Callithrix jacchus: one gene and its partners. The protein of the gene in region 1 purifies or fractionates together with the protein of each later gene. This does not show direct contact. Links are inferred from orthologs where the notes say so. Each region holds a gene or a part of one and is shown on either strand. Other genes may lie near its edges.

Region 1 (5,965 bases):
CAAAGCGAAAAGAAAAAGGGTGGACTGGTAGGGGAGCACTACTAGGCACTCTTACTTATATCATTCCATGAAGACAGGGACTAATTGGGGGGCACAGTAGGCACTTAATAAACATTTGTCAAATGATTAAGACCTAGGACCTCCTGAAATGCTATACTTTGCATAACCTTTCTTTAGGACGTTTGCATATCCTTGAGCTGATAGAAATCCCAATAATCACAGATTAAATTTCCTGTTATCTTAACACAATGCGGAGCTTGGAGACAGATTAATTTTATTTAGAAAAAAATAAAATAACTTTTCTTATATCTCAGGGTTCTTGAGGTAAAATTCATACATGCTGCAAATCTATGGAAGTGATTCAAAGAGAACATTTGAGGAAGGAGAACTAGAAATGTAAGGAAAACCTTAGTCTACCTGAAAAAGTAACCTTACTCACTGGAAGGCCAAATAAAATATGGGCCAATTATGAGAAACCAGAATATGTGAGTGTTAGGACTTGAGAAAATATTAGTTTAACTTTGCTTGAGGATAAAACAGAAAAGTTGAGCCCCAAGGGTTTTTCTATTCAAAATCAATTAGGTATTTGCTGAAATTGTTTTTCATCATATGGGCAAGAAAGAACAGGAGGCAAGGCTTAAAGCCATTTGTATAAAAAAGATTTTACAGCCGGGCGCCGTGGCTAACGCCTATAATCCTAGCACTTTGGGAGGCCGAGGCGGGCAGATCACGAGGTCGAGAGATCGAGACCATCCTGGCCAACATGGTGAAACCCTGTCTCTACTAAAAATACAAAAATTAACTGGGCATGGTGGTGCGCACCTGTAGTCCCAGCTACATGGGAGGCTGAGGCAGGAGAATTGGTTGAACCTGGGAGGCAGAGGTTGCAGTGAGCAGCGACTGCACCACTGCACTCCAGCCTGGTGCTGGTAACAGAGCGAGACTCTGTCTCAAAAAAAAAAAAAAGATTTTACATTTTCTCAATATACATTTTTTTTTTTTTTTTGAGATGGAGTTTTACTCTTGTTGCCCAGGCTGGAGCACAATGGCATGATCTCAGCTGACTGCGACCTCTGCCTCCTGGGTTCAAACGAATCTCCTGCCTCAGCCTCCTGAGTAGCTGGGAATATAGGCATGCACTACCACGCCTGGCCAACGTTGTAAATTTTGTATTTTTAGTAGAGACGAGGTTTCTCCATGTTGGTCAGGCTGGTCTCAAACTCCCGACCTCAGGTGATCCGCCCGCCTTGTCCTCCCAAAGTGCGGGGATTATAGGTGTGAGCCACCACGCCTGGACTCAATATACATTTTAGAAAGATTGTTACCTCCTACTCCAGATCTCACCTTGCACAATATGCTATGAGATAGACTGCTCTTCATTTGTGAAATAACTGAGTTTTAGAATAATTTGCTGAGTTTCTGAATATTAAAAACATGAGTATAAAATAAATCGACATTAACAGCTGCTTAACAGTGATAAAATATACTTTTATTTACTTTGTGGAGTCAGAGGGTTGTAAAAAAAATTATTGCTAAAGTAGATATCAGGCAAACAGAAGGGTGCTTTAGAAGTCCAGTTACCTTGGAGTTTATTTAAACTAAGAGAAAAAAGTCATAATGTTTTCATGCAATACACACTTGGTTCTTTAAATAACAATTGTGTGACAAATAGCAGAAGGAATTAAGGAATGCTGCACTTGTGATCCATACAAAACACCAACGTTTTAGGTTGTACATAATTAAAGAAATATCTGAAACACTTTTTAAAACACTGTAGTAGCCGATACATAGAGGCATGCCGTAGGTGGACACAGGAATGCAGTTTAGAAAAGAAAAAAAAAATCACATAGGAACTACTCAATTTCCTTAAAATCACTGAGCAAGAAAAGCAACATTGAACTTTCATACTGATTTTACACAACTTCTGTACAGTATCTTGACTTAAATCCAAGAGCAAAAGTTAAGATTCTCCTCCTCTATTTTTGGTAAACAACTGCATGGTAAACTTAGACGACTTTCCCCCCTGGATTTTACCTGGGAGTAGCCTTTAAAAATTTTTATTTAAAAGAGGGTAGGTTTGGCACTTTTATACTGATGTCACCAATGTTAATATTTCTTGGGATCTCAGGAAGATTCATATTCTTTACAGCTGATACAGCACGGGCTGGAGCTCCCGCTAAGCCAGCCTGTATACAGAAGCAAATAAAAGAAAAAGAAAATGTACAACTCAGGTGTAGCTCATCATAAAACACTTACAATGAAAGACAATGATAAAAGATTTTCATATAACAAGCTTAGAGACCAGATGGTAGTTTGAATTGGTATGGAATGGTTACTTTCAAATACTTATTTATAAAGAGAAAACAGTGACACATTAGAAAATACAGTGAACACATGCAATGGTAACAATGTAAAGATTTCAATACAAATTAATGTGCACTACCACACAATATTCACATGGTAAACCCTAAATCTTTACCTATATCTTGATTTAACTGAAATATAGCATGATTTACATTAGTTTCCTTAATAAAGATCTCTTGCAACGATCATGATAGATTTTCTTTTGCTTTAAAATGGCATTTATTATCAATATGTGCTGTGAAATAAAAATTGCAAGTAATAGATCATGCTTGTTTAATTTCTTTACTTAGGGATAAACCCTTAAAACAATTTAAAACAATAAAATTAGTTTTTAAAATTGTGAGGGCTCTTTTAAACTTTTCTAAGAAAGTTCTAGAACATTCAAAAAATAGGCTTTCAAGTAAAGCCTCAATCCAAAGATAGTTATGCCTACAGATGAAACTACACAAAGAGGATCATTCCAACCCTTTGATGCATTAATAAAAATATGATTAAAAATGTTTTGTCATACAGCGTAGATTCAGCAACATATACTCAGCTTACAGTGCACAAATTTAGAGAAAGAAGAGCATAAATGCAAGAGGTAGTAAATATAAATAAATGAATTCTAAAATTTCCAGTAAGTACCACTAGTACATAATATTTGGCTTTCTTGTTAGTAGGAACATTTATAATTTGTGAAATAATTTTAAAAGAAAATATGCTTAAAAATAAAAGAAAAATGCATATATATCATTTTTCTCACCTACATTAACAGCCTTCATATTTAAGGTTTAATTTATATACCAATTAGATTTCATTAATTTTTATTTAGGCTATATAATAAAACAAAGCCAACAAAGACGTTGAGTTTAGGGGCATCATTTTGTATAAAAATAGACAAGCAACAAAAATAAATCTTCCACTTTGATTAGATTATATATAAGGCAATGTCCATAAAATTAGAAACACTAGCTTTAAGGTCCCTTTTCATAAGTTTAGTTTTCTTTTCTTATGTAATCCTACCTTTGTTCATTAAAATAAAAATAATAATAAAGCTGTTACCTGAGAAAAATCTTGACTGATACAAAATAGGCCAGTGTAAACTATTTGCTAAATAAAGGATACAAACATTGTTAAGCAATGAAACAAAAACCATGGATTATCAATTCAGAATTGGAAATAATAGAAAAATTAGTAGAATAGTATTAATAGTAAGTATATTCTACACAGGCAACGATAAGGGTGATACAAATGAAGAACTACCTACCCAATTAATACTAAATAGGGCTGGAAAATTTAATTTTTATAATTTAATAGATGCTAGTCATTCTTGATGTACAACTAAAAATGTGATTGACCTCTATACTTAATACCTACCTGAGGCAATGAAGTTTTTATCCCCCCATCCCTGCTGCTCCTCCAAAAGATGTTGGATACACAACTAAATAATAATTAAGGTAGCATGTATCATATTCAAAAGGGTCTTTAATTTGATCATTTCAAGTTAAAGGTCTAGCTACCAAAATTTAAGATGTGTTATGATCAAAGAAGAATCCATTTCAAAGAGGTTTACCATCTTTTGGCTTTCTTTTACCAGGAAGTATGCTATCTGCTAAGGAAGAAAAATTTACAAAATTGCAGACGTTCTGAAGGCAGTATCATTTTTTAGATAGAAGGATTCTGTAATTTTTCTAGTTAAAAGACCAATTTGCCACTATCTTTACTTTCAAAATTTCTATAAAAAAGACAAATGATGAATTGACTATAGAAAAGTATTGACCAAATATGAGTATAAATATTTTAAAAAGCATAAATTATTAAATTATTTTATTATTGTAAGAGAAACTGTGTGTGTGTGTATCTGTGTATTTATTAGATACTATGGTTTACACCTATATTTAGTAAACATAATTTTTTAGTATTAAATGTTAGTAAAGCTCTCTTTTCCATAATATCCTGTACCATGAACAGCTAAACTAAAGCAAAAAAAAAACAACTTTTCCTGTTAACTTTCATTAGACTGAGTTTTATCTTTGGTGTCGACTGTTGGCTGCTAACGAGAATACATAAAATCAATATAGCAATTGATTTAAATAGCATATTTGTGCTTAGTAGGTAAAACCAAAGAAGTTTCTAAGTACAACAAACTACAATTCTTCTAAACATAAGCAGCAAGCCATAGACATGCAAAGGATGGGAACTATTTAGAACACGCAAATGAATTCGAAGAATCAAATTATTTCTCAAGCATGTTCAATACTTTTGTGTACTATGCCATAAATTTAAATGGTAGGAAAATTTAAAATTATAATATGCACTTTAAGTTTTAATTAAACTAACATTTTAAAAAGAAATTATATTATGCAAAATATAAAATGTGAAGAAAATATGATAAGGACAATAAGTAGATGCTTAAACTAGCTAGCAATGTTTATATATAAAAATTAAGGGCTAAAAAAAGAGTTTATGTCACTCAGTCAACACCAGAATGGCTATAAAACAAATTTCATTTTCAGACTTTCATGAAAGCAATGTCTGAAACATTTTTCATTAAAACATAAAATGTAAAGTAAATTTTCATTAGAAAATTAGTTTGCTGACACAGAGGTATGAAGCAATTTTCATCTTAGTTAAGACTTCTTTTTTCCAGTAAGATACACTCAAAGCAACAAAATAACTTTTCAATGTTAAAACTTACAGAAATTAAGTCTACCTGACTTGTTAGCAGTAGTAGTCCCCCTTATCTGCAGTTTCGCTTTCCATGGTTTCATTTATCCATGGTCAAATGTTAAATGTGGTCTGAAAATAGGTGGTACAGTACAGTATTGTGATAGAGAGGGGCTACATCCACATAATCTTTTTTTTTCTTTAAGAGACAGGGTCTCACTCTGTCCCTGAGGCTGGAGTGAGTAATGCGACCATGGCTAACTGCAGCCTTGAACTCCTGGGCTCAAGTGATCTTCTCACCTGTCTCCTGAATAGCTAGAACTACAAGTGTGTCCCAGTAGGCCCAGCTAATGTAAAAAATACACATATCTTTTTGTAGACATGGGGTCTCACTGTGTTGCCCAGACTGGCTCAAACTCCTGGCCTCAAGTGATTCTCCTGCCTTGGCCCCTTAAAGTATTGGGATTATAGGTGTGAGCCAGCATACCTGGCCTCACACAACTTGTATTACATTATATTGTTATAACTGTTCTGTATTATTATTAGTTGTTAAACTCTTACTGTACCTATTTTATAAATTAAATTTTATTGTATGTATATATGTATAGGAAAAAACATAGAATATATAAGGTTCAGTAGTATCTACAGTTTCAGGCATCCACTGGGGGTTTTAGAATGTATCCCCCACAGATAGGGGGATTACTGTAAATACATTTTTAAATGTAAAAATAAGATATCTCTGACAGAACAACATAGTTCTTAAAGATTTAAGATTATATATTTGACACATAGCAGAAATAAAAAAGAATGAAATTCTACTGGAGAAATAACTTGTTTCCATCTATGTTATACTTGAGCACCACCATGGCAGGTAAACTGCAGCGACTACACCAATAAAAACAAATATATGAATCCAAAGCTGTTAAGAGTATGAATTGGATGAAAGAATGAA
Region 2 (6,320 bases), on another chromosome or scaffold:
AAAGAGTGAAAAAGAATAAATTATCATGATCTCAACCAATATAATGTTAGCAATGAGCATGGTAAATCTGACATTAACCAGTGTCCCTTCTACCATTTGGAAGAAACATCTCTTTTACCATTTACAAATTATTGCACTTGATGGGATGGTTTTGGTTAAGCATACCACATAGGCAGGGAATGTCTGTGAAGTATAACTCTACTTTCTGTAAATATGAACAACTCCCTCTTTGGTGCTTGAATGAGGGCAGAGGTAAGGGGAGGCTGTGTGAAACAAGGCGCTCTCCAAAATCATTTGGTTGGTGCCTGAGAGACTGGTCTCCCAAGCACAGTGCAAAAGGCAAATGGGCTGTTGCTCTTTCTAGAGTGGGAAATTTTGTTACCCTTTTAAGTGCCTAATAATTGAGCTTGTAAAACTCAATTACCCTTAACTACAAGTGAGCCTTACTCTTACCTGAAATAGCAAGCTGCTGGATCTTAAACTGTATGTTGAGGCTCGGATTCTCTTCTGGTTTGGGGGCTCCAGACTGTAAATTTACCAGTCCTTTAAGACTTGGGAGCTTCTGTGGAGTAATTTTTCCCACATCCCATGTTAGTACCTTGGAAAGACAAAAAAAATGATGAACGAATGGAACTATCTATTAAAGACAAACCCTCAAAAAGAAGGTTTAAAGACACCATAAACTTCTGTACAAAATGAAGTGCAGTCTATTGAAAACAAGGTATCTGGGATCTACAATGAGTTTACTTCTGATTAGCTCTGTGACTTTGAATGGGAAGTGAGAGCAGAGAATCCACATTTGTTGAGCATTTTCTTTTGTATTAGCACTGTGCTTAGCACTATTCATATGTTGTCTCATTGAGGGCTGTGAAGTAGCTTTTGTCTTCTATTTACAAATGAGGAAATTAAGGGTCAGAGATCAAATGACTTGCTCAAAGCCACAGAGCTAGTCAGAGGAAAGGCTGGGATTTGCACCTAAGACCCTCTGATTTCAAATGTTCTCCATCATACCATCTTTACTACTTTTCTCTGGGCCTGTTAATTTTTCTGTAAAATCATTAGATTGACTTGAGATGGTGTTTTAAAAACTTTAGCTGTGCAACCCATTGTTCAAATGAAATCTTTAGTGTGGAGGCTCAACAGCAAATGAGAAAAAAGCAAAGCTGTCATAGTTGAAGCTGCGGTAAAGGGCCAGGAAACTGAAACTTTCCTTCTCAGCCCTGTGTGGTGTCCAGGAGGAGGTCCTTTGAATCCTTGCAACCACATTAAATAATCTTTAACATTCTATGACATTATTCAAAAAATGTGTCTTTTCATTTATCAGGCACCGCAATGACTCTGGTATTGAAAACAATCATATTTACTACCTAAGCAGGAAGCTGGGAGAAAATAATCTGCTACAGTTTCTCTAAAAACCCTCTGCTATAGGAAAATGTAAGTAAGGTGAGCATCTTTCCTAGCCCCAAGAAAGAGTATGAAGTGATGCTTTTAAATTAAAAAGAAAAAGGTCTTAATGATCAATTTACATAGAAAACTTAATAATTCATAGACCATAATTCTTTTATCTACATAATGTTTTCTCTTTTTAAAAAAGCTTTTACTGGCTGGGTGAGGTGGCTCACGCATGTAATCCCATTACTTTGGGAGGCCGAGGTGGGCAGTCAGGAGGTCGAGACCAGGCTGACCAACATGGTGAAACCCTGTCTCTACTAAAAATACAAAAAAATTAGCTGGGCGTGGTGGTGCTTGCCTGTAATCCCAGCTACTCAAGAGGCTTTGTGGTAGGAGAATCACTTGAACGTGGGAAGCGGAAGTTGCAGTGAGCTAAGATCACGCTATTGCACTCCAGCCTGGGCAATAAGAGCAAGACTCTTGTCTCAAAAAAAAAAAACAAAACAAAAAAAACTTTTACTTCTTTCTTATTAGATAGCAGAATGAGGCTCTGGATTAATAATGGATGAGTGAAGACACACTCTGAAAAAGGACAGAACAACTCGCTTTTCTGTTCATCTACTTGGTGCAGGATTCCCTTTGTAGCCAGTGGCAGAAGCACAGTACAGTATGCTCTCCAGGTTTTGATACAAACTTTAGTTTTAAACAAGGTGCTAAACCTTTCCCCCCACCCCTCCCCCCAAATCACAAAATAGATTGCAGAAACACTTGCTCACTCTTGATTTGAAGTGGCTGTACCTTGGTGACTGGATCAAATGTATAGCTGCCTTGTGTGGGTGTCAGGTTCATGTTCAGCACAACTTTTGGCATGTGAACTGTCACTGTAATTCCTTCAATAGTTTTCCCCATATTCTGCTTTGGTCCAATTGTTATATCAAATCTGCCACAAGAACTGTTCTCCTTAAAGCTGATACTATGTTTCACATACACTGGTATTGCCACTAGACTAAAAAGAGAAACAGAGAAAGACACAAAAGCACAAATACAATTAATGGTGTGGGGACAGCTCCAGAGGTATCCTGAAAACCTCTGTACAGAGTATCCTATCCTCCCTTTAACTCCACAGTAAGGCTCTTCAGAGTTGGCTCTCTGAAGCCACAGTTCTGCATCCTTGAATTTGACCAGCTAAGAACTGAAAATATCACTTTAAAAAATCAGCCAGGCATGGTGACTCACACCCGTAATCCCAGCACTTTGGGAGGCCAAGACGGCAGGAATAACCTGAGGTCAGGAGTTTGAAAGTAGCCTGGCCAACATGGTGAAACCTTATCTCTACAAAAATACAAATATTACCCGGGGCCAGGTGTGGTGCCCCTGCAATCTCAGTACTTTGGAAGGCCTAGGTGAGTGGATCACCTGAGGTCAGGAGTTTGAGACCAGCCTGGCTAACATGGTGAAACCCCGTCTCTACTAAAAATACAAAAATTAGCTGGGCAGGGTGGCACGTGCCTATAGTTCCAGCTAATTGGGAGGCTGAGGCAGGAGAATCACTTGAACCTAGGAGGCGGAGGTTGCAGTGAGCTGTGATCAAGCCATTGCACTCCAGCCTCAGCAACAAGAGCAAAACTCCATCTCAAAAAAAAAAAAAAAAAATTAGCCGGGAGTGGTTGTGAGTGCCTGTAATCGCAGATACTTGGGAGGCTGAGGCAGGAGAACTGCTTGAACCCAGGAGGTGGAGGGTGCTGTGAGCTGACTGAGCCACTGCATTCCAGCCTGAGCGACAATAGTGAAACTGCATCTCAAAAAAAGCCCCCCAAAACAAGAAACAATTGGGGCAAATGGTCCTAGTTTAAAAAATGAATTACAATTCAATGGAAAAATAGTGTAAAATACATATATATGTGTGTGTGTGTATTTTTTTTTGAGACAAAGTCTCACCCTGTCACCCAGGCTGGAGTACAATGGCGTGATCTTGGCTCACTGCAAGCTCTGCCTTCTGGGTTGAAGCAATTCTCCTGAGTCAGCCTCCAGAGTAGTGGGGATTACAGGCACCTGCCACCACGCCCAGCTAATTTTTGTATTTTTAGTAGAGATGGGGTTTCACCATGTTGGCCAGGCTGATTTCAAACTCCTGACCCCAGGTGATCTGCCCACCTCGGCCTCCGAAAGTGATGGGATTACAGGTGTGAGCCATTCACTGTGCCTGGCCTAAAATATGTTTTATATAATTGAAACAGTTCCTATGTCATAAGAGCTAAGAAATGATTTCTCTGCTTTTGAATCTTGTCATGATGTAAATCAAATAATTTCTGGTATTTTCAAGAAACAAACTAGCTATAACTATGACCCTCAATGCTAAGTGGTTTTTCTTTTTGAGATGGAGTTTCACCCTGTTGGTCAGGCTGGAATGCAGTGGCATGATATGTCACTGCAACCTCTGCCTCCCAGGTTCAAGTGATTCTCATGTCTCAGCCTCCCAAGTTGTTGAGATTGTAGGCATATGCTACCACTCCTTACTAATTTTATATTTTTAGTAGAGACGGGGTTTCACCATGTTGACCAGACTGGTCTAGAACTCCTGACCTCAAGTGATCTGCCCACCTTGGCCTTCCAAAGTGTTGGGATTACAGGAGTAAACCACAGCTCCCAGCCCCCAATGCTAAACAGTTCCTTTAAAACTCAATGCAGAGAAGAGTGACTTGAGGCAGTAAGTTGGGGAATGTCCTTATGAGCTACAGGTAGGTCTGTCTCCTTCTGTTAGCTACAAAGTCTACAGACCATGGTAAGATTACGGCAATGGTTCATGGTTTTGCCCAGGTTATGCATGGTCCATTTTGCTTTACTTGCAAAGTACTCAGCTGTCACAAACAGGGAGCAAAATGGACCACGCATAACCTGAGCAAAGAACCAGTGCCATAATTTGACCGCCCATAACCTTGCAAAGAACTGGTACCATAACCTTTTCCCCAGGTTATATACAGTCTGCTTGCTCTTAGCTATAGGTTTTACTCTAGTCTCACTTAGTACCACTCTAAACTCATACATTCAAAGTATACTGATTATTTTAGGTGTGTATTTTTGCCAGTTCTCACTGGGTTTCCTGGTGAGCCATGGTTAAAGTGAGCAGTGATGACCTCAAGGATTCAACTGTCAGAAAGAAACAGGGACAGGTGAGTTCTGCTTGATATGTATGATGGCAGATTCCGGCTGATGCATCTGAACATACTTTTGTGAGCTGACACGGTATGATATGAGTCTGAAATTTCCATCTGGAGGAATAAATGACAAAACTCTTTCAGATTCCCAACGCTTGAACCGGATGCAGGGGTGGAAGCTGACATCATCCAGAAGCCTAGGGTTCTGCCAGCAAAACAGAAGACAGTCGTGTTCATATAGTATAATAAATATGTTAACTCTACTCAGATATCTTGACAAATTAATATATTTCCTGAAAATAAAGCAGTCATGGAAGAGTTTATGACCACATCAACATAACTTTACAGTGTCACAATGCTTTAAAGTTTATAAATATTTTATGTAAATTAATTTATTTGAATTTCAATAGCCATAAAGAAGAAAAGGCAAGTAGTATTATTTCCCTTTAACAGATTAAAAAAAACTGAGGTCCAGCCGGGCACGGTGGCTCACGCCTGTAATCCCAGCACTTTGGGAGGCTGAGGCGGGCGGATCACCCGAGGTCAGGAGTTCAAGACCAGCCTGACCTACATGGAGAAACCCTGTCTCTATAAAAAACAAACAAACAAACAAAACCGAGGTTCAGAGGACTTAAGGTCAGGACAAACTGGTGACAATACCAGAAGTCAGTTCTCTTAATTGTTCCTAGCAGTATGTTATGCGGACTCTACAATGATACAAAAGACCAATGCCCTTTCATATCAGCAAAGCAAGTAATTATTCAGTAAAAATGATGTTGGTGTTTTGCAGAAGCCAGCCAATTTTAAGCGCTTCCTAGCACACTCAGGCAAAGACTTCCCTTAGCCTTTCCATAAAGACCAGGCTCATCGTGTACGCGATTGTCTTAGGAAACTCTGCTAGAAATATTTTTCAGATAATCCTTTGCAATCTAAGATGCAAACTTATCTCAATTTTATCATTTCATTTAGTACTTCACATGTATTAGGCATGCAAGGGGCTATAAAACAGGAGAATAAAACTTACCATGAAAGAAAGGGAGAGATCAGGCATTCCAGATAGTTTAATGCAAGCATCAATGACCCCCTGAATTTCTGCAAAGACTGTAGATCCTGAAGAAAAAAAAAGGGAGACAACATCAATAGAATCTCAGTCTTAACTAGAGCTTTCACTGTATCTTTTTATTTTTATTTATTTATTGTTTTTAGAGACAGAGTCTTGCTCTGTTGCCAAGGTGGGAGTGCAGTTGCATGATCATAGCTCACTGCAGCCTCAAACTCCTGGGCTCAAGTAATCCTCCTGTGCTAGCCTCCCGAACAGCTGGGAATATAGGTGTGCCACCACACCTAGCCCACACAAACACTGTATCTAGAATAATGGAGATACCCCCTGAGTATCAGACATACTGAAGCTTTATATCTATCTCTATTAAAACAGGTCAGGGAACAAGGTCCATACCTAACTCTAGTTGGAATACGGTAATTCATTCATTCATTTTTCTTTTTTAAGAGTTGAGATCTCACTAGCTAGTCCCAGCTGGCCCCCAGAATAACTGGGACTACAGGTGTGCCAGCGTAGAATCTAAATTTTTTTTTGAGGCAGGGTCTTGCTCTGTCACCCAGGGCTGGAGTGCAGTACTGCTATCATGGCTCACTGCAGCCTCAACCTCCTGGGTTCAAGCAATCCTCCCACCTCAGCCTCCCAAGCAGCTGGAACTACAAGTACACACCTCCATGCCCCAGCTTATTTTTGTATTTTTTTAATAGAGATGGGGT
Region 3 (6,320 bases), about 39 Mb from region 1:
ACAAAAATTCACTGTTTTGAAAGCCATATATTCAAGGTAAACTCCTAGGTCGCATTTTCATGCTCAGTGCCCTCAAAACACATTCTTTGGATGTAAAAAAAAAAAAAAAAAAAAAAAGAAAAAGAAAAAGAAAAGAAAGATAAATAATATAGATTTAGTTAGGCTGCAGATATAAGGCATATGAATTTTCAGCACTAACATATTGCCATGCTAAATTAAAGTAAAGTACCCACCATCTGCCTTCATTACTCATAATTTAGAGCAGAAGCCACAACACTTGGTGCAAGGAGGACATTTCCACAGTTATAGTTGCATATTATTAGAAAATTGGTATACTCTGTAACTGCATGGTATACGCCAAATCATTCAAAAAGAAATAGAAATAAATAAGTAGTTATGGTAGCTCCAAGGTGGAGTATACTTATTCTAATTGCTAAACTAAAGCAAAAAACTCCACAGTCCTGTATGCCTTTATAGACAGGAAAAGGCATTCTAATATAAAGAAAATAAGCCACCTAAGGGACACATGAACACAAAACTATCAACAATGTACATGAAACCCAAATTTCTCAAAGGTCTTGGCTCATTGCAATAGTTTGAATTTTTTATACTGATGTTCTATAGGAAAATATTTTTAAATTATCAAGAGATTTAATCCGATCACTGAAAGTCTTTGACAAAGAAGAAACAAAAAGAATCACTGACCTGGAGTGCCACTGTGGCTTTTCTTTTCTTTTCTTTTTTTTTTTTTCCTCGGGGCGGGGCGGGGGGGCGAAGGGATACAATACAACATGATGTTCAACCACTGTGGCTTTTTAATGAGATCCTAAAGCTCTGCTTCTAATACTATAGAGGCACTGAAGTCTGTAATTTTTCAACTGTTTCAAAACTTCCCAAGAATAACTTCCACATCTTGACACTCAATGATTTTTTGTTCTGTCATTTTAAAAAACACTTCTTACTCTGGGTTGTATTTACTGTTGATTTGTAACTCTCTTTATTTTCAATAACATTTTAAACTTTCTGGTAATTTGATGTAAGTATGAAATGCAAGTACACCAAACTCACTATGTGATAAGTTTTTATATGAGGCCAGATTAATAAACCACAAAATCTCTTAAGATTTTATGTAAATTTTTTAAAAATAAAAATCTTAGGTTATTTGATATACAGATGCAAGTTTTAAATATAAATTCAAGTTTAAGATAGGTTTTAATATATGCAAGAAAATATGTGAAATAAGGCAAGACAAATACTAGCCAATTTTTAAAACATTCTTTAACAATAAATCTCTGGAAGGGGGAGGGCAATTGTTTACTTCAATAAATTAATTTTCATACTTGCTACTCAGATAACATACCAAAAAAATACAAGTTAATAGAACAAATAAACAAAAACAATATTGGATTAAGAAGAAATTAAACTGAATGAAAGGCAGGGTTTGAACATATTTTCAACAAACAGAATAACACAGTTATATATAAAACTACTAACCTTGAAATCTAGCATCAACAAGGTCCATTTTTAGGAAGGGGGTGATTATTAAAGACCAAAAAGATACTTATCATTAGGTCTGAATTCTATACTACTATTTCATTCTTTTAACTAGATGTGAAATCAGATAGGATAAATTTTATATTAATAAGTATAGTCTTGCAATATATATACTTTAATTTTTTTCCTGCTAAGCAGGCCAAGTTCAGTGTTACAAATGTTATCAAAAAGCACTATTATTTTATTATATAAGTAGTTCTTACATTTGTTTTTAAATAAATGGTTACTTCCAATTCTTACTATATAAAGAATGTATATACTTTAATTAAAGCTTTAAAACACAATTATGCAAAATGCCCAATATTTTAAAAGGCTTAATAGTCTCAATTTCTAATGATGTATGTACACTTACATTTCTTTGCTCAATACTATTTTTGTGACTTCCTTTCACTTCCCTTTCAGCAAAAACCCCCCTTGTCACAACCTAGCCAAGAACAAAAAAGCCCATATGCATAACATTGAGTTCCCTGATTTCAGTGGCTAAGGGTGAGTTTTTTTAAAGTTCCTAACTTTTCTGCAGAGTTGGGTTATAAGGGAGAGGCTTATCTAGAAAAAACAAAATCACAGGTGTAGATGACAATGGTGTTGTTTATTTTAGTTGCTATAAGAATATTTACTTTCAATGATAACAAATGTATAATCTCTTACCTTAGTGACTCTTCTGGATTCAGATTCACTTTCAGATTCTGACTCTGATTCAGAATCTGAAGAACTGTCTTCTATTGAACTAGATTCGGCACTGGAAGAATCTGAAGTTTTAGATTTTTCATTTTCCTTCTCCCCATCTTCAGCATCACTATATATAATAGTAAATTTTGAAATGTGAACTTTCTTTATATAAGTAGTTTATATAAAAGGTGGTTAAATTCTAGAATATATTAATAAGGTAATAATAAAGGTATTACTAGTAACCAAATTAATCAGAACCCATTCAAATTCAATTCTATCCTGTCATACACAAAATGACACTAAATAGTATCATCAAAAACAATGTAGAAAATATTAAATGTTTCATTTACCAAGAATTAAGTGCCAGTAGTAATAACTTCAAAGATATTTAGGCTGATTTTTTTTAAATGCTATCTCAAAATATTAGGTATGTATACATATCTACATACAGGGTCTCATTGTCACCTAGGCTGGAGTACACTGGTACGATCATGGCTCACTGCAGCCTCTACCTCCTGGGCTCAAGCAATTCTCCCACTTCAGCCTCCCAAGCAGTGGGGACTACAGGCATGTGCCACCACACTTAATTATATATTTTTTGTAGAGACACGGTCTCACTATGTTGCCTAGGCTGCTCTGGAACTCCTGGGCTCAAGTCATCCTCCCACCTCAGTCTCCCAAAATGTTGGGGTTTCAGGATTGATCCATCACACCTGGCTTAGTAATATATTTAATATTTATATATCTGCTTTTGCTAAAACGGACTTGTATTTTATACATTTTTCTGTCAAGGAAAATTACTGCACAAGTTCCCAAATGTGACCTTAAACATATGAGAAAATGTTAACCAGTTCAAAGCAAATTCTTCTAATGTACTGTCTTGCTAAAAATTTAAGCTAATCAAATATCAACTTTAAAAATACCAAATGATCATACCTAAGTGCTTAACACCATTCATTTGTTCACCTGCTCAACAAGTATTTATTAATTATTGACTACATGTTGGTATTATGTTAGGTGCTGAGGGTAGTAAGTCACAGAGGATCTCTGTGTGTCTACCCTATAGTCTTCAGTCCACTGGAGAATACAGATAAGGTGGCAGAGATAATATAGTATGATAAGTAATAAGTAATAAATTACAGTGTGTCAGAACAGTATTTGTAGAGACAACTAAAAAAACTTAATCCACTTAGGAATGCTTCCTTGAGAATGAGACATATAAGCCAAGATACAGGAATAAGGCCAGCAGATGGGCCAGGAAGCAGTTCTCCAAGGAGAAGGAATAACATGCGAGATGGCCATTAACACCCTTTTCTCAGGGGATGAGAGCTGCTTTGTGGTGTTTATATTTTCCTGGAAACTAAAGGTCTAGTTCTCTCTACCACATGTGTGTGTATTTTTTTAAGAATCTATTGTGGACCGGAAAGGGCTAGGTATTTCATACCAATCATACCGATTATCTAATTTAAATGCACTCTTCCTGGGTACATTATTATTCCATTTACAATAATGAAATTAATATTTAGAAAGGTTAAATAACCTGCTCAAAGACATATAACAGGAGGGGCAGAACTGGAACTCAAGTCTATCTCACACCAAAGTCTGTATTTTTTCCACTATGTCATACTATCTCCCTTCAAATGAAAATACCGTGGAGTGTAAAATTTAAATTTGGTAATAAATATTTATGATTACTAAATGGTGGTTTTTGAAGATGCTTAAAGCTTATTAAGAGCTTTAAAAAATTACCATGCTGACAAAGTTAAAAATAAATTCTAAGAGACAGGGAGAAAAATACAGGGAGAGGAAGAGTAGTGAGGCAAAGGAAGGATTGATATTTCCTAGAACTGATTTTTGTAGAGGAAATATGATTGCTGTTTATTAAAAATGGAACCATGGTAACATCTCAGAGCACATGTAATTATATTTGAAGACTGAAAAATATGTTGTTGTTTTTTCCTTGGCAAAAAACGGCAATTTATTATCCTCAATTCACTGGTTAAAATGTGTACTTAAAAATATAAGGTTCAGAATGTATTTGTAATTCTACTTGGTGAAGTAAACAATTCTTTTAATTCAAACATGGGTAAAGAGAAAAATCCATTTCTGAAGAAAAAAACTAATAAAACTAATGCATGACTACAAATTTCTAGCACACTGACTTTTGCTATCTGAAAAGACATTTCATGCACTGAACAAAACTTTCCCTTTCTAGAAACAAGACATGTTTTATAACTCATATCATCATAGATACTCTGATATTAAACCAGAAATACGGAATTTCTCTCAAAGACAAGGCTATTATAAAGCAAGTGGCTCCTTTGCTGCAACAAGTGAATGATTCTAAATATATTTAACTTCTGGCTTTTAAGATAAGATTTTAAAAGTAAAAGTGTTATTTTATTATGCATCACTCAATTTTGATGGTAATTATTGTTTACCTTACTGCTTAGAGTTTCAGATGTTAATCTAATGAAAAGAATTTACTGGTAACTAGGTTTTTAACTTTGCAATGATGAAAAGCCTGTATTAATTTAACCTACAGATTTCATTTGTTCTGAACAGGAAAAACAATATAAATCACTTTTAAAATCATTAAATCCTGACTTAAATTAATAAAGTCATAATTAGGGCATTATGCTGTGTTTGTTATGGAAGTGGCAGGGCGAGCTGCTTTAATTACTGTCTGTAATAAAAGGAGCAGAGAGCGTACTGCGCCCCAATCAGTGCTGTCAGCCACGACTGAGCCGAGCTGCAAGCTCATCAAGTGAGCGGGCAGTAGGCTCTCGCGGAAAGGACCATCATGTTGGCAGAGGCCACTCGCTGACAGCAGTGGGGAAAACAGAGTTGCACAATCCAAGATATTAGCCCCAATTACTCAAAATTTTAATGACATTTTAATACATGATAATGTTGTTGATAATGGGAGATCTTAAAAAGTGCTAACACTTAAATATCCTATGACCGTCTTCCTTCACAGCCCTTGACTCTAATATTTGAGTCATAATCTTTTTAATATAACATTATTTAGAAAAATCAATTGTCTTGGTTACATAATGGCAAAGTGTTGAAGGATTTAATTTTAGCCCTCAGCAAAATTGCTACAAAAGGTAATTAAGTGTTTCATACCTATTGCTTGATCACTTAACTCAGCCTTCCAAGGTTATACCAATTTTCAAAATGTAACCCCAAGATATGTTCAAGTTCAATATGAAAGCTAAGCATAAGTAGGAAAATAATGTGAACAACTAGCACTTTAATTCTAAAAGATTTAATATCTGTTTGGGAAAAAATACACACTTTTTTCCTCACTATTTTTGGACTAACAAGAACTATCTTGCTGGGGCACAATTTCAGAGTATTTCTTTGAAGGAAATTCTGACAAAATAAGTTACCTTTTTCCTTTGGTTTTTGAGTTCTTCTTGGCTGTTCTTTTGTTTTCTCGGCCTGAGTCCCTTCCACTTTCATTGCCCTGCTCACTGGAGGAGTCCTCACTGCTATCCTCACTGCTGTCTCCTTCCTCCCCACTTTGGCCTTGTTCTCCACTTTCACTTCCAGATTCACTCTCTGAAAAACAGAACCAGATGTTCTCAGATTTATAATCATTTAATTAAACACACGGACACCTGTAACTGTCAATATTCATCACAAGTAAAACCAGATGTTGAATTTTAGTTCAGTGGACATCACTTGTTCAATACTTTATTCCCACACCCCATTCTTTCAGCTCTACGTATTCCTTTAGCACAGTGAGCTTCGGGGGATGCAGACAGAGAGAGGATGCTCTGACAGAGTAGAGAAAAGCTAAGCAAAGGTGAACCAAATAAAACAAACTTGAGGGAATCCCACTTTTTAAACCCCAACATATCTAGTTATGTCAAAAAGTTTCTTTTAAAGAATTACTAAGGATTGATATAAGGCTAAAGAAATAACTTTGAATTCTTCTGCTTATAATGGGAAATTCTATTTAGATTAAAAGAAGGCAACAGTTGAATCTTAGGAACAAATTTTGAGAGGAAAATGAGCCATTCGAATCACCTGGAAAAACCTCCTAATTCAAAAGACAGTCAGCAAAATGACTAAAGAGTTACTACTTA

What was found.
Region 2: the proteins of AP3S1 (region 1) and AP3M1 purify together in Homo sapiens (co-immunoprecipitation; 4 studies listed by BioGRID and IntAct, counting the BioPlex papers as one, with this or other methods). This does not show direct contact. The link is inferred for Callithrix jacchus from reciprocal best matches to the Homo sapiens genes AP3S1 and AP3M1.
Region 3: the proteins of AP3S1 (region 1) and AP3B1 fractionate together in Homo sapiens (co-fractionation; 5 studies listed by BioGRID and IntAct, counting the BioPlex papers as one, with this or other methods). This does not show direct contact. The link is inferred for Callithrix jacchus from reciprocal best matches to the Homo sapiens genes AP3S1 and AP3B1.

Annotation. Positions count from the first base shown.
Region 1 is NC_133503.1:93,917,344-93,923,308, forward strand, and holds the end of AP3S1 (AP-3 complex subunit sigma-1), read right to left. Parts: intron 3,457-5,965; coding exon 3,409-3,456; intron 2,187-3,408; coding exon 2,058-2,186; 3' UTR 1,468-2,057; downstream 1-1,467. UniProt on the Homo sapiens protein: Part of the AP-3 complex, an adaptor-related complex which is not clathrin-associated. The complex is associated with the Golgi region as well as more peripheral structures.
Region 2 is NC_133513.1:56,079,097-56,085,416, reverse strand, and holds part of AP3M1 (AP-3 complex subunit mu-1), read right to left. Parts: intron 5,658-6,320; coding exon 5,572-5,657; intron 4,753-5,571; coding exon 4,619-4,752; intron 2,399-4,618; coding exon 2,191-2,398; exon of another isoform or gene 2,169-2,190; intron 599-2,168; coding exon 454-598; intron 1-453. UniProt on the Homo sapiens protein: Part of the AP-3 complex, an adaptor-related complex which is not clathrin-associated. The complex is associated with the Golgi region as well as more peripheral structures.
Region 3 is NC_133503.1:132,938,353-132,944,672, reverse strand, and holds part of AP3B1 (AP-3 complex subunit beta-1), read right to left. Parts: intron 5,791-6,320; coding exon 5,619-5,790; intron 2,351-5,618; coding exon 2,203-2,350; intron 842-2,202; exon of another isoform or gene 706-841; intron 1-705. UniProt on the Homo sapiens protein: Subunit of non-clathrin- and clathrin-associated adaptor protein complex 3 (AP-3) that plays a role in protein sorting in the late-Golgi/trans-Golgi network (TGN) and/or endosomes.